Linked DNA regions of Schizosaccharomyces pombe. The protein of the gene in region 1 binds, or shares a complex with, the protein of each later gene. Each region holds a gene or a part of one and is shown on either strand. Other genes may lie near its edges. The genes, in order: snf30, snf5 and snf59.

Evidence for each region.
Region 2: snf30 (region 1) and snf5 share a complex: the UniProt entries of both Schizosaccharomyces pombe proteins name them as parts of the SWI/SNF global transcription activator complex.
Region 3: snf30 (region 1) and snf59 share a complex: the UniProt entries of both Schizosaccharomyces pombe proteins name them as parts of the SWI/SNF global transcription activator complex.

Annotation. Positions count from the first base shown.
Region 1 is NC_003424.3:878,579-882,417, reverse strand, and holds snf30 (SWI/SNF complex subunit Snf30), read left to right. Parts: upstream 1-1,949; 5' UTR 1,950-2,228; coding exon 2,229-2,431; exon of another isoform or gene 2,432-2,582; coding exon 2,583-3,204; 3' UTR 3,205-3,271; downstream 3,272-3,839. Other genes in the region: ubiquitin hydrolase Ubp7, read left to right, coding at 1-1,395; U3 snoRNP protein Nop58, read right to left, coding at 3,836-3,839. UniProt on the Schizosaccharomyces pombe protein: Component of the SWI/SNF complex, an ATP-dependent chromatin remodeling complex, required for the positive and negative regulation of gene expression of a large number of genes.
Region 2 is NC_003424.3:546,377-549,976, reverse strand, and holds snf5 (SWI/SNF complex subunit Snf5), read left to right. Parts: upstream 1-1,507; 5' UTR 1,508-1,516; coding exon 1,517-3,313; downstream 3,314-3,600. Other genes in the region: gep3 (GTPase-like protein), read left to right, coding at 1-1,209. UniProt on the Schizosaccharomyces pombe protein: Component of the SWI/SNF complex, an ATP-dependent chromatin remodeling complex, required for the positive and negative regulation of gene expression of a large number of genes.
Region 3 is NC_003423.3:3,968,538-3,972,376, reverse strand, and holds the start of snf59 (SWI/SNF complex subunit Snf59), read left to right. Parts: upstream 1-1,632; 5' UTR 1,633-2,273; coding exon 2,274-3,821; 3' UTR 3,822-3,839. Other genes in the region: 3'-5' exoribonuclease subunit Dis3, read right to left, coding at 1-1,051, 1,216-1,408. UniProt on the Schizosaccharomyces pombe protein: Component of the SWI/SNF complex, an ATP-dependent chromatin remodeling complex, which is required for the positive and negative regulation of gene expression of a large number of genes.

The DNA.
Region 1 (3,839 bases):
GACAGTTTCTTGCCTGCTAATTCATCGCCATTAGCGGCCTCGTCTACAAAATCCCTTCCATCGTCAGAACTTCTCGATTCCAGTTCAGACAAGGGACAACAAGTTTTTAAGGGTCAACATGAGGTCGCTGGTACCAATTCTTTTGAAGATCCTAATTCTCATTTCAATGTATCTAATAGTTCTAATCATGAGGAGGCTAGTCCTAAAAAAGAAGTTTTAAAATCTCCTCAATTTCAAAGGCGTTCACTAGACATACTACGGCTTGGTGAACTTTCTTCAGATGATATGATGCTTGATAAAGCTACTATGGATGAATTTTCTTCAAGCCTGGTGATCAAGTCAATTTTTACAGGCCGTTTAACGAGCGTTGTGATGTGCCAAAGTTGTAATGAAATTACTAACACTCCTGAACCTATTCAAGATTTATCCATACCTATTCATTACCCGTCTAGCCGCGTAAGTCGTCGTCATCGATTCCATCGTGCTCTCCGTTCACGATTTAGTCGTTCACCAAAAAAATCGTCTGTAAAGATAGTTGTTGACAATGCTAACGACGACACTGATCAAGCCCCGACTACTAATTCCTCTTCGTTAAATGAAAATTTACTTGGTGGGCATGCTAGTGAAAATGACAAGAGTTTGAAACAGTCTCCATTTCAAAAACTGACTCGAAGATTAAGTGATCTCTCTGTCAATTCTAGCGGGCAAATTTCGAAACAAGATTTTGATAATAGTAATTCAATTTTCTCAGAATCTTCACTATCAAGCCCAATAATAGAGGAGCCTAAGACACTTATTGATTGTCTCAAAAACTTTACTCATGTTGAGGAGTTAAGTGGTGAAAACATGTTTGCCTGCGAGAATTGCTGTAATCAACCTAACGAAGTTGGCTCTCCAGCTAAGGGAGGATTGACGTCGGATAACGATAAATATTCGTTTAATAACAGTGTTTATAGAAATGCTTACAAGCGGATGTTATTAGATGACCCTTTACCTCCTGTTTTTATTATCCATTTGAAGCGTTTTTTCCAGGAGATTTCCCACGATGGTTACGCCAATCCCAAAAAAATTTCCGATTTCATTGAGTTTGAACAAGAATTAGATTTAAACGAGTTCGTTATGCCACACCTACGTGCTTCAAGTAGTTTTAGATATCGACTTTTCGGGGTCATTGTGCACAGTGGCACCCTGAATTATGGTCATTATGTTGCTTACGTATTGTCTCATAAATTCTTAGACCTCAGTGCCCCTTCTACGAATTCTAAGGATTTCCGTTCTGAAGCTGGCATACCCGAGAGACGATGGCTTTACATTAGTGACAATATTGTACGCGAATCATCCTGGGACGAGGTTTCAAAAGTCGAAGCGTATATGCTATTCTATGAACGTGTTTAGACTTCTATTGCTTTAAATCCTCATTTTAGCTTAACAATATTTTTCAATACCCCTGGTTTTTATCTTTAAAATGCAAAGTATTCATTTTGAAATTTACGATTGGCCCAAAATGACTTATTCAACTCAATCTATCTTCACCTTAATCGAATTTCAAAATTACTTTGTCATTTCACCTCATAACTAGATACTGAATTTTGGACGAAACCATAATTATTCAAACACATTCTTTTGATGTACCTCAATTAAAAAAATACCATTTTACTTAATTAAGCAAATGGGATAATTTATTTTACGTTATCAATAGTCTATATAATTGCAAATTTATAGAAAAATCTAAATTTACTTATTTTTTATACGCTAATAGTGTTGTTATTGAATTGTATAAATATTATCTCTGTTAATGAAGCGTGCAAATCAGCTTTAGTCTCTAAATAATTATTATTTATTTATTCTATTGCATATATTTGAAAAGTTATCAACAATCTTATTCAGTCGAATTTGAATGTTCCGTAAAATAAGAAATTTATTTGCCCGAGGTTAGAGGTGCTTAAACTATACACCTGACTTGTCATTATTGGAATATAGTCGCTATTGAATTGTTATAGTGTTGTTACATTCACGTTTATTACCATATAGCATTTAAAGGTTGTTTTATACTTTTTAACGACAGTATTCATCAGAGACTCTAAAATTCGCATTTGTAAAAAAATATATATATATATTACCATTACTCCTAGTTAATGGGTTTTAAACACAAGAAGTTACAACAAATTTTTTAAAAAAACTGGTTATTTAAGTTATATCTCCTTTTTAAGTTAACTACGTTTGTAATAATGAGCTTTGTTTCGAAAAGTCCACCGATAGTAAACTCCGCGAGCCCAACCGGACAGGTTAATCCAATGGAAGTTGAAAAGGCGAACAAATTATTAGAAATTAATCGTTTGATTTTATGGAAATGCTTAGAACTTCAGCATATTAAGACGGCGCAAAATTCGACATTGGAGCAACGGGCTTTATCTACTGAACTTTTCAACAGGTAAGTGATTGAAATGTTTTGCTTACGTGCACACTTAGCTGCGGAAGGATATTCATTGTGTGTATCCATTTTCGGCTCCTCAAATTGCGCTTCGCACTGTCTCTCTTTTATTACATTATATTTTTTTCGTTGTTACTAATTCATTTACTAGTTATATACAACGTCTCAAAGCTAATCTAGCTTTTGTAGTATCAATTGCTTCACCCCGTCAAATGCAAGTTTTAACTCCGCCACTTTCGTGTCCTGAAAGTCTACCTCAACTCGAGCCGTTATACAAAGAACTCCGGCAATATTTTCAAATCGCTCAGACATCTACACTATCGTATCCTCCTTCAAATGGGGATTCGTCTTCGTATGCAAATGGCACAGACTTACATGGAAATACAGGGACTATGCAGCAAGAAGAGAAAGCCAATCCATCATTAACTCGTTCAGATTCTGTTTCCTCGGGCTCTTATATTACAATGCAGGGAGCCAATAGTCTGAAGGCCCAACAAGACTTATTGAACTCGTTTACTGGTGCTCCTTCAAACAATTCTCATAACATACCCGATCCTAATCTATCTCAAACATTTTCAGCAACTTCTATGGGACCTCCCAACAATAACTACTCAAAGTTCCGAACGGATAACTACTTAGCGAGGTCCTCAAATCGCTCGGGAACGCCCAACATTCAAAATGAGCAATCTCGTTTTTTTGATTCACAACAAGCTCAAGTTCAGGCTCGAGCATTGATGCAAAGATATCAACAGGGGATGGAATTTAACAAATAGTGGTGTTTTTGAAGTTTATGATATAGAAAAGCTATGTCCTGTAATTTTATGTTTTAATTGATCATTTATCTAAACGTAAGACTTGCAATGTAGCGGACGCCTTACATGTAATTTTTATGCAACTAGTAAATTTTGACCACTAAGATCTAAATTTGTTTAGGAAATTAGGAATGGGTAGCACAACATTACTAAAATTTCAATTGCGAAAACCAAATCAATAAATTTATCTAAAACGACGATATGTTTACAATTTTACTATAGCACAAGCAAATGAATGCCATACAAAAATTTTTGGCGGAAATTACAACAGATGTGTAAAGCAATTTTAAAGTGGTGTCGCTTAATTACCTTTTGAATCTAAAACGCTATTGAAACTTGAATTTTTTGATGCCATAATTTAACTAAATTGACCAAGTTTAGAGATTAAAAAGCCAATAATGATAACTCTGAAAGTTTCCAGTATAATATAAAACAAAAATGGATAACGAGAACCTAAATAATCTTTGAACTTGAGTCGTTATCCTCTAAACAAGCTCAACCTTTTTTAAAAAAAGAAAGCATTATTGTATAACAATAAGTGAATTGATAATTCCTTTTTAAAACATTAATGGAATTTGCTCTAACGACCTACTCAA
Region 2 (3,600 bases), 330 kb from region 1:
CAAAGATGTCATGATTTAAAATTTCATTCTCGCATACGTCCAAAGGAGTTGTTACAAGAACCCCAGACTACTCTACCAGATATCATTAGTACGGTGAATAATGATAAAAGTACTTGTTTGATAATACAGGTTATAGATGTTACTGAAGTTATATTTCAAGATTTTGTTTCAGCTACTCAATACACTCATTTCCCAGTTTTCCATTTATTTACGCATGCGGATGTATTACCTCCAAAAAAGCCATACTGGTTGTTTCCTGGGTTAGGAATTTCTTCAAAGTATGCTATGCTTTACACATCGCATTCTTTCAACCTAGTTGATAAGCTCTTGGGAAGGATAAATCCCTTGCTATGTTCGCGAGGTCATGTATATGTCGTAGGCGAAGCAAATTCTGGAAAATCTACATTGCTAAAAACTTTGGCTAAACGGGGAAATGGTGTTTTTAATGAGCTTTTGCTTGACAGTTTTTTACCAGGAACCACTCAAGCAATAAAAGGGTATCCTACACAATATTTCGGTTCCTGTTTTAAGCAATTATCTGAAGGCTTAATTTTTGATACTCCTGGATACCGTGGTAACTTGAAATCTTTATTACCCTGGGTTGATACTAAGCTATTGACAAGTCTCGTACCTAAAACAAGGTCTAGAAATAAGCAACTCACAAGTAAGCCTGTTCAGTATCGTGTTCGTTTCGGTCAGTCTATTATTTTAGGTGGACTAGTTCGTGTTACGCCTTTTGAAATAAATGAAGATGGAAATCATGAAGTTGGAAAGCCAATTATGTTTAAAAAGGAAGATCCTTCGAGCACCACGATACACTTTTTGTTCTCGACTTTAAAAAATAAGAAAACAAAAGGCAATACCAATAATATGAAACCTCTTTTGATTAAGTTATTTACAAAACTTCCCGCTCATATTACCTCTATAACAAAATTACAATCACTTGAAAATTCTACGAAAAATGATAATGTTCCTTTAGTAACTCACTCTCCGTCGCCGATGCATTCTTCTTTTACCGTAAGTATTAAACCGACACAATTATCGGAAAACGTGTTCGATCCTACATCTAGTGGTGAACTGGTCATTCACAATTTTGGCTTTCTTTCGTTTTCTGCTTCACGTCCTATGAACCTACTTGTTGAATCAGTAAATCCAAAAGCTGTTAGTTGGAGGTCTGCAAAACCAGTAGTACCAAAATTTAATAAATAGGTCGGGCCTATATCTCATTATTCGCTTAGCATTTATTCACCCGTACTTTAAAAGTGGTTTGGGTTATTTACTGTATTTTCGAATCAATTAATAAAACGTATCAGCTGCTTGTAAATGGCTATATTGATCAAGAATGACACCGATATATGATATTCTTTCTAATAACATTTGCACTTAAACGAATCTTTACTTTTTTTTTAAATCTATGGATAAGGATATAGGCTCTGCTGTAGCCGAGTTGCAAGTTTGTAGCACTCACTACGCTATGACTATTGTTAGCTGCGGTTTTCACTCCCCCCAAAGCCTAATGAATGCAGATTTGCAGCACTGTCTTCTAGCAGATCAAAATTATTTGTTAAATAATTCTAACAAAAACAAAGGAAGTATTATTGAAGAAAATACTCGAAAACCCTTCCAAAGTGCAAGAAATTTACAGACATCTTTGAAAACACATCCTGAAAGCGCAATTACCCGATATGGACTAGGTTATGCTGGATTTGGGAATGGGTGGACCGCTTTGAAACCCAAAATACTATTTCCATCGCAAAAAAGAAGGGTTAAGGGTCGATTTACTTTCCCTTTCAGTCGAAGAAGTAATTTAGCCCAATCTAAACTTCCGGTTGATTTGGTGCCTATTAGACTTGAAATAGATGCTGATCGCTACAAATTAAGAGACTCCTTTACGTGGAATTTGTACGACAAGTGTATTTCATTAGATCAATTTGCTGAACAGATCTGCATTGATTATGATATTCCACTGCATAATGTACATATTGTTCAAAATATTTCAAAGAGTATTCAAGCTCAAATAAATGACTATGAGCCGCGTAAGGCTCAGTCTAATTTAAGTTTTGTTTCAGATGTTAGTTCGTCTACCTCAGAGACTGTTTATGCGCACGAACCGTCAGATTCGTTGGCTAAAGCTTCCAAGCAACAAATTCCAACTGTACAAAACGATTTGAGGATATTGATCAAGCTTGATATTACCATTGGTCGGCTGAATCTTATTGACCAATTTGAATGGAATTTGTTTGCTCCTGAAAGCAGCGCTGAGGAATTTGCTACTGTGATGTGCTTAGATCTAGGATTGTCAGGAGAATTTTGTACAGCTGTAGCTCACTCAATTCGTGAGCAGTGCCAAATGTACATAAAATATTTAAGCCTTATAGGATATTTGTTTGACGGAAGTGAAATCGAAGACGAGGAAGTTCGCTCTTACATTTTACCTCCTCTTAAAAACACACTACGGTTCTCTGACATGGAATCCTCCTCCTTTGCCCCAATGATTTACGAGCTAAACGATGCTGAAATGGAACGGCAGGATAGAGGTTATGATAGGGAAGCACGTCGTATGCGGCGTAGACAAGGAAGGGCAAAACACGGGATTATGTTACCAGATCTTCGGGACATTCCTAAAATACATCGAAGTCTCTTCCCCAGTTCATCGGTCCCCTCGGATGATGACTTTATGCATGCTTTAAGTTTATCTACAAATTCTGATGGCGAGACACTTAACGAAATTAATACTAATAATCCTGAAAGAGAACATTTAATTGTGCGTCTAAAAGTTGACTCTCAGAAACTAAAAATAATCGTTGAACAATCACAAACCTTAACCCTCAATAACTTCCAACAACGGAAACTCACTCCCTTGCCCAATTCCATGAGTTTTGACTCACTAAACGAATTTGAAAGTGAAAGGAACACACCTTCTACATATGGGCAAAATATTTCGCCATTACCACAATTTTCGTCTCCTAGCCTTTCTTCTGACGCGTTTCTTACTAACAGCAATTCTTCTGAATCCGCTTTGGTTCATATGCAAAAGTTAAATTTACCTGATTTTACCCCTTCCTGGGTTAAACGATGTGTTATAGAGACATTTGCAAAATTTCCGAATGATCGATTTAATGTTATCGTAAAACCTGCTTTAAATCCTGCTGAAAGGATGACTGTGAGAATATGTTGTCATGATTGCATTAATGAGTATTTTACAGCCGGCCCAGGATTCACGTTTGGCAATTTCCATATCCACTTGTTGTCAAGCTCGCATCAACAAAAAAAGGAGGTGAGAATGAATACGGTTTTGGATAGAAATACTTAATACAATTTTGGAAGAATCTTTATCAAAGACCATAATCAAGATTTGACTCACGTTATGGATAGCTCGACGGACCAGTTTCTTTCAGTTGATAGCTTCTGTTACAAATGAGGCACTCTATCCTCAATACGATTAATTTATTAAATTTGAGGAAATACACTGTATATTATTCAAAGGCTTATTAATCCTTAATGTTCAGTCATGTGGCTAAATTTAAAGTATGTACGGGTAACCGATGAATCAAATTACTTTACAGCCTTCATTTCAGTTTTTGGAAATTATAATATTTT
Region 3 (3,839 bases), on another chromosome or scaffold:
CTAGGCGCTTGCCTTGTTCGAAATCGAATCTTAGGTACTCGCCTATCCATAGGTGTTAGCAAAACTGTTTGCTGAGAACCGCCTTTTGACTGGGCAATAGTAGCATTATCAACATGGCCAACGTATGGGCGCCAATTCCTTTTTAAAATACCAACCACCTTAGCGGTTGGATGAGCATTTCTTTTCGTAATCAGTTCCAAGTCATTTATTCTGGCCGAATCGGGTTCTGCTGCAGTACTCACAACAACGTCTTCATCATCATCAGCTATCTCTTCAGCTTCCGTTTTCCATTGATCTTGAGGTAATATTTGAATGCAAACGATATCACCTTGCACAGCACGATTTAAATTTTCTCTTCCTGAAACTAGCACGGGCTTGTTGTAACCAGGAACAACAACAGAACCTTCTAAATAATTATAAGTACTAATATTGATAAGTCCTTTATGCACTTCCCCATTTTTTATACAAGCTAACAGCCTAGACATAGACCAATGTAGTTCATATACGTTTTTTGTTCCAGACTCTACCTGCTCTTTAGAAGCAATGGCGTCCGCAATGGCCGACACCATATCCAGTAAAATTTCAGAGTCGGGCAGGTACTGAACGTAGTCTTTCAATGTAGAGACTTGAATACCTTGTTCAGCAGCCAAGCGAGCATTTTCGCGATCATCGGTTAATAAAACAATCTTAATACCTAAGCTGGCCAAATGACTGGCAAACCAACTAGCCGCGTTGCGAATTGCACGATCATTACGGTCATTAGCAGATTCATCATCCAATCTTTCAACGAACGTATCAACAAAAAATTCATTACTAAAAGGGGTAAATCTTTTAGTTTTCTCTTGGCAAAGGCGTTTCATTCTATTGTATAGAGGAATAGATTTTGAAGAAATTTCTGAAAAAACCGTTTGCAGAATAATGACATCGAAAAAATTATTTGGATGTTCTAAGGCATCAATACAATGGTAAAATATATTGGAATCAGGGATTAAATAATGATGCCCAAATTTCTCCAAGAACATGGGCTTCTCTGATAAAATAGGCTCTAACACTATCGTAAGAGTTAATTAAATTTTGCTTCACATTAAAAAAAAATGAAATTGAATAGTAAATGAATTAGTTTCAATAGCTCTCAGAAATTAACTTCACAGAAAATTATACCAACTAATTCCAGACCAATGCAAATTACTCATGTGGGATTCCTTTAATACTTACCATTTCCCCTCGAGTCCTTTGGAAGTTTAGAACGGCAAAGAGGGCAAGCCCGACTTTGACAGGGTATATCATTTCGTAAATATTGCTCACGAACAACTTTTTGAACCTTCCCCCTGGTTGCACGAACAAATACTCTATCTCTGTGATTCTTCTCGGAGCTTTGAGGCCTCTTCAATCCTGAAACAGTGCTCATCCTGTAAATCTTCAGAACACTGAAGATTGCTTTACTAGAAAAGTTTTAGACCCTGGAAAAGCTACTATCACTTACGGCATTCACAACACAACACTACACGTTATTATTTTAACGCAGGATAAAAACTTCTCATATTTCACACACCGAGAACAGACTGGGTCTCGTAATATTTGTAAATAGAGCAAAATTGCAGACAAAACTGAGTATTTGAAGGTTTTTTCTTTAAAACAAAACGCAGTTATTTAAATTTCATTAAAGATTAAGAAAAAATATACCTTTTAAGGTTAATTTTTTGGTTTCCAGTCCACTACTTAATCTAACGTACAAGTTATAAATATGTTTGTAATATTTATTAGCTAATTTTATTTTTTTAAGTAATAAATGATAAAGTTGAAACAATTAAATGTTATTTCAACTGAATTTATAACTCCCACCTAAAATTATGACCCACCAGACTATTGTTTGAATTGGAACTTTACATTAAAAGCAGATAAAAGTTCAAATGGCATACATAACTTCCTTTCAAATTACTTTGTGTGGAAGCAAGCAGCTTCTGATCTTATTACTTTTAGAGTGTTTATTTGAATTTGGAAACGCCAAGCAAAAGTAAATAATTTTGCAAAAGTGTTCAGCTTATGAAATTTTAACAAAGGTTTTCGGTTTTATTAAAATCGTAGAGTAACGTCGAATTTCAGTTTTTCTGCTACGCCTGTTCCACGCTGCGACCCTACCACCGCACATTGTTTAAAATATTTATTGACACTCGTTAAGGTAAAAGACTGTGAAATTAGGTACAAGTCTATAAAATCACGCTTGGTTTTGGAATTGATATTCGTAACATTTTCGTTTGACACCAACTTTTCTTATGGAAGAAGAAGATATCACACTTGAACATTCTGATGACTTAAATAAAGAAGAATCTGGTGAGTCGAATAGGGTGAATATAGAAGAACCTGAACATCATGATAATTCAAATAAAGAATCTACAAATCTTGATGATTTAAACATGTTGGAAGAACCTAAATATCATGATAATTCAAATAAAGAATCTACAAATCTTGATGATTTAAACATGTTGGAAGAACCTGAACATCATGATAATTCAAAAAAAGAATCTACAAATCTTGATGATTCAAATATGTTGGAAGAACCTAAACATCATGATAATTCAAATAAAGAATCTACAAATCTTGATGATTTAAACATGTCGGAAGAACCTAAACATCATGATAGTTCAAATAAAGAATCTACAAATCTTGATAATTCAAATATGGATGAATCTGAAAATCAGAAAAATTTTAAAATTGAAGAACCCAAACCTTCTGGTGATTTTAGAAACGAAGGACCTAAACAGTGTGATGATTCGAAAATTGAAAAACCTGAGCTGCACGTTAATTCAAAAATTGAAGAACCTATACATCGCATTGATTCAGAGCATAATGAACCTGAGTATCACACTGAATCAAAAAATGAAGAGTCTGAACATAATACTAAATCAATCAGGGAGGAACCGATACATCATGTTGATTCAAAAAATGAAGAACCTGTTTACTCCAAAATTCCCGAAAAAATGGGTGATGAATTTTCAGAAAATAGTCTTTCAAAATCTGATTCTGCAGTAAAACAGGAGGGTAATTTGTTGATTCATCCAAATAACAGCCTAAAAGATACCGCACCTTCAAAATGCAAAGAACCTCCAGTTGATGAAGCATTAAGTAAAAAGGAAATTAGTGATGACATTGCTCAAATCACGAGTGTAACCCCCATAACAGAAAAGATTGAGGACAAAGATAAATACATAAGTGAAGTAATTGACACGTATGGCAAACTAGCGGATGGTTTTGAATATCGAGCTAAAACATTTTGCCTAGAAGGACGTGGCAAAGTGTTGTATATGCTTGGTACAGAATGCTCAAGATTACTCGGCTTTAAGGATAGTTACTTCATGTTTCATAAGACGCCATCTTTACGAAAAGTACTTACAACACAAAGTGAGAGGGACCAAATGGTTGAAATGGGTTTGTTGGCATCTAATTTTAGATTTCGACAACTAAGCATTGTTCCAGCTAGACAAATGTTTTTGGCATTCGGTGCTAGAATATTGATGAAGGGAACGATAGATCCAGAGAGTCATAAAGCTCTTATTGAAAAAAACATTAGCTGGGCTGACGATGAGTATTATCATATGGATGTCATGGCTAATGGAAGCACTCGTTCTTCCTCTGTAAAGCTTGAGCTAAAAAGTATGGATAATCAAAATTCACCCTCACCATTTCAAGGTAAGGATATTTTGACGCTTGCTCAGGGTGCTTCTTTTTACAATTCTAAAGTCATGAGGACAAGAAATCTAAGGAAAGAAGCAAGGTTAAGTTATTATACAAAATTACGAGGTGTCAACAGATCTGTTTCATGACTTTATATTAAAAATTAT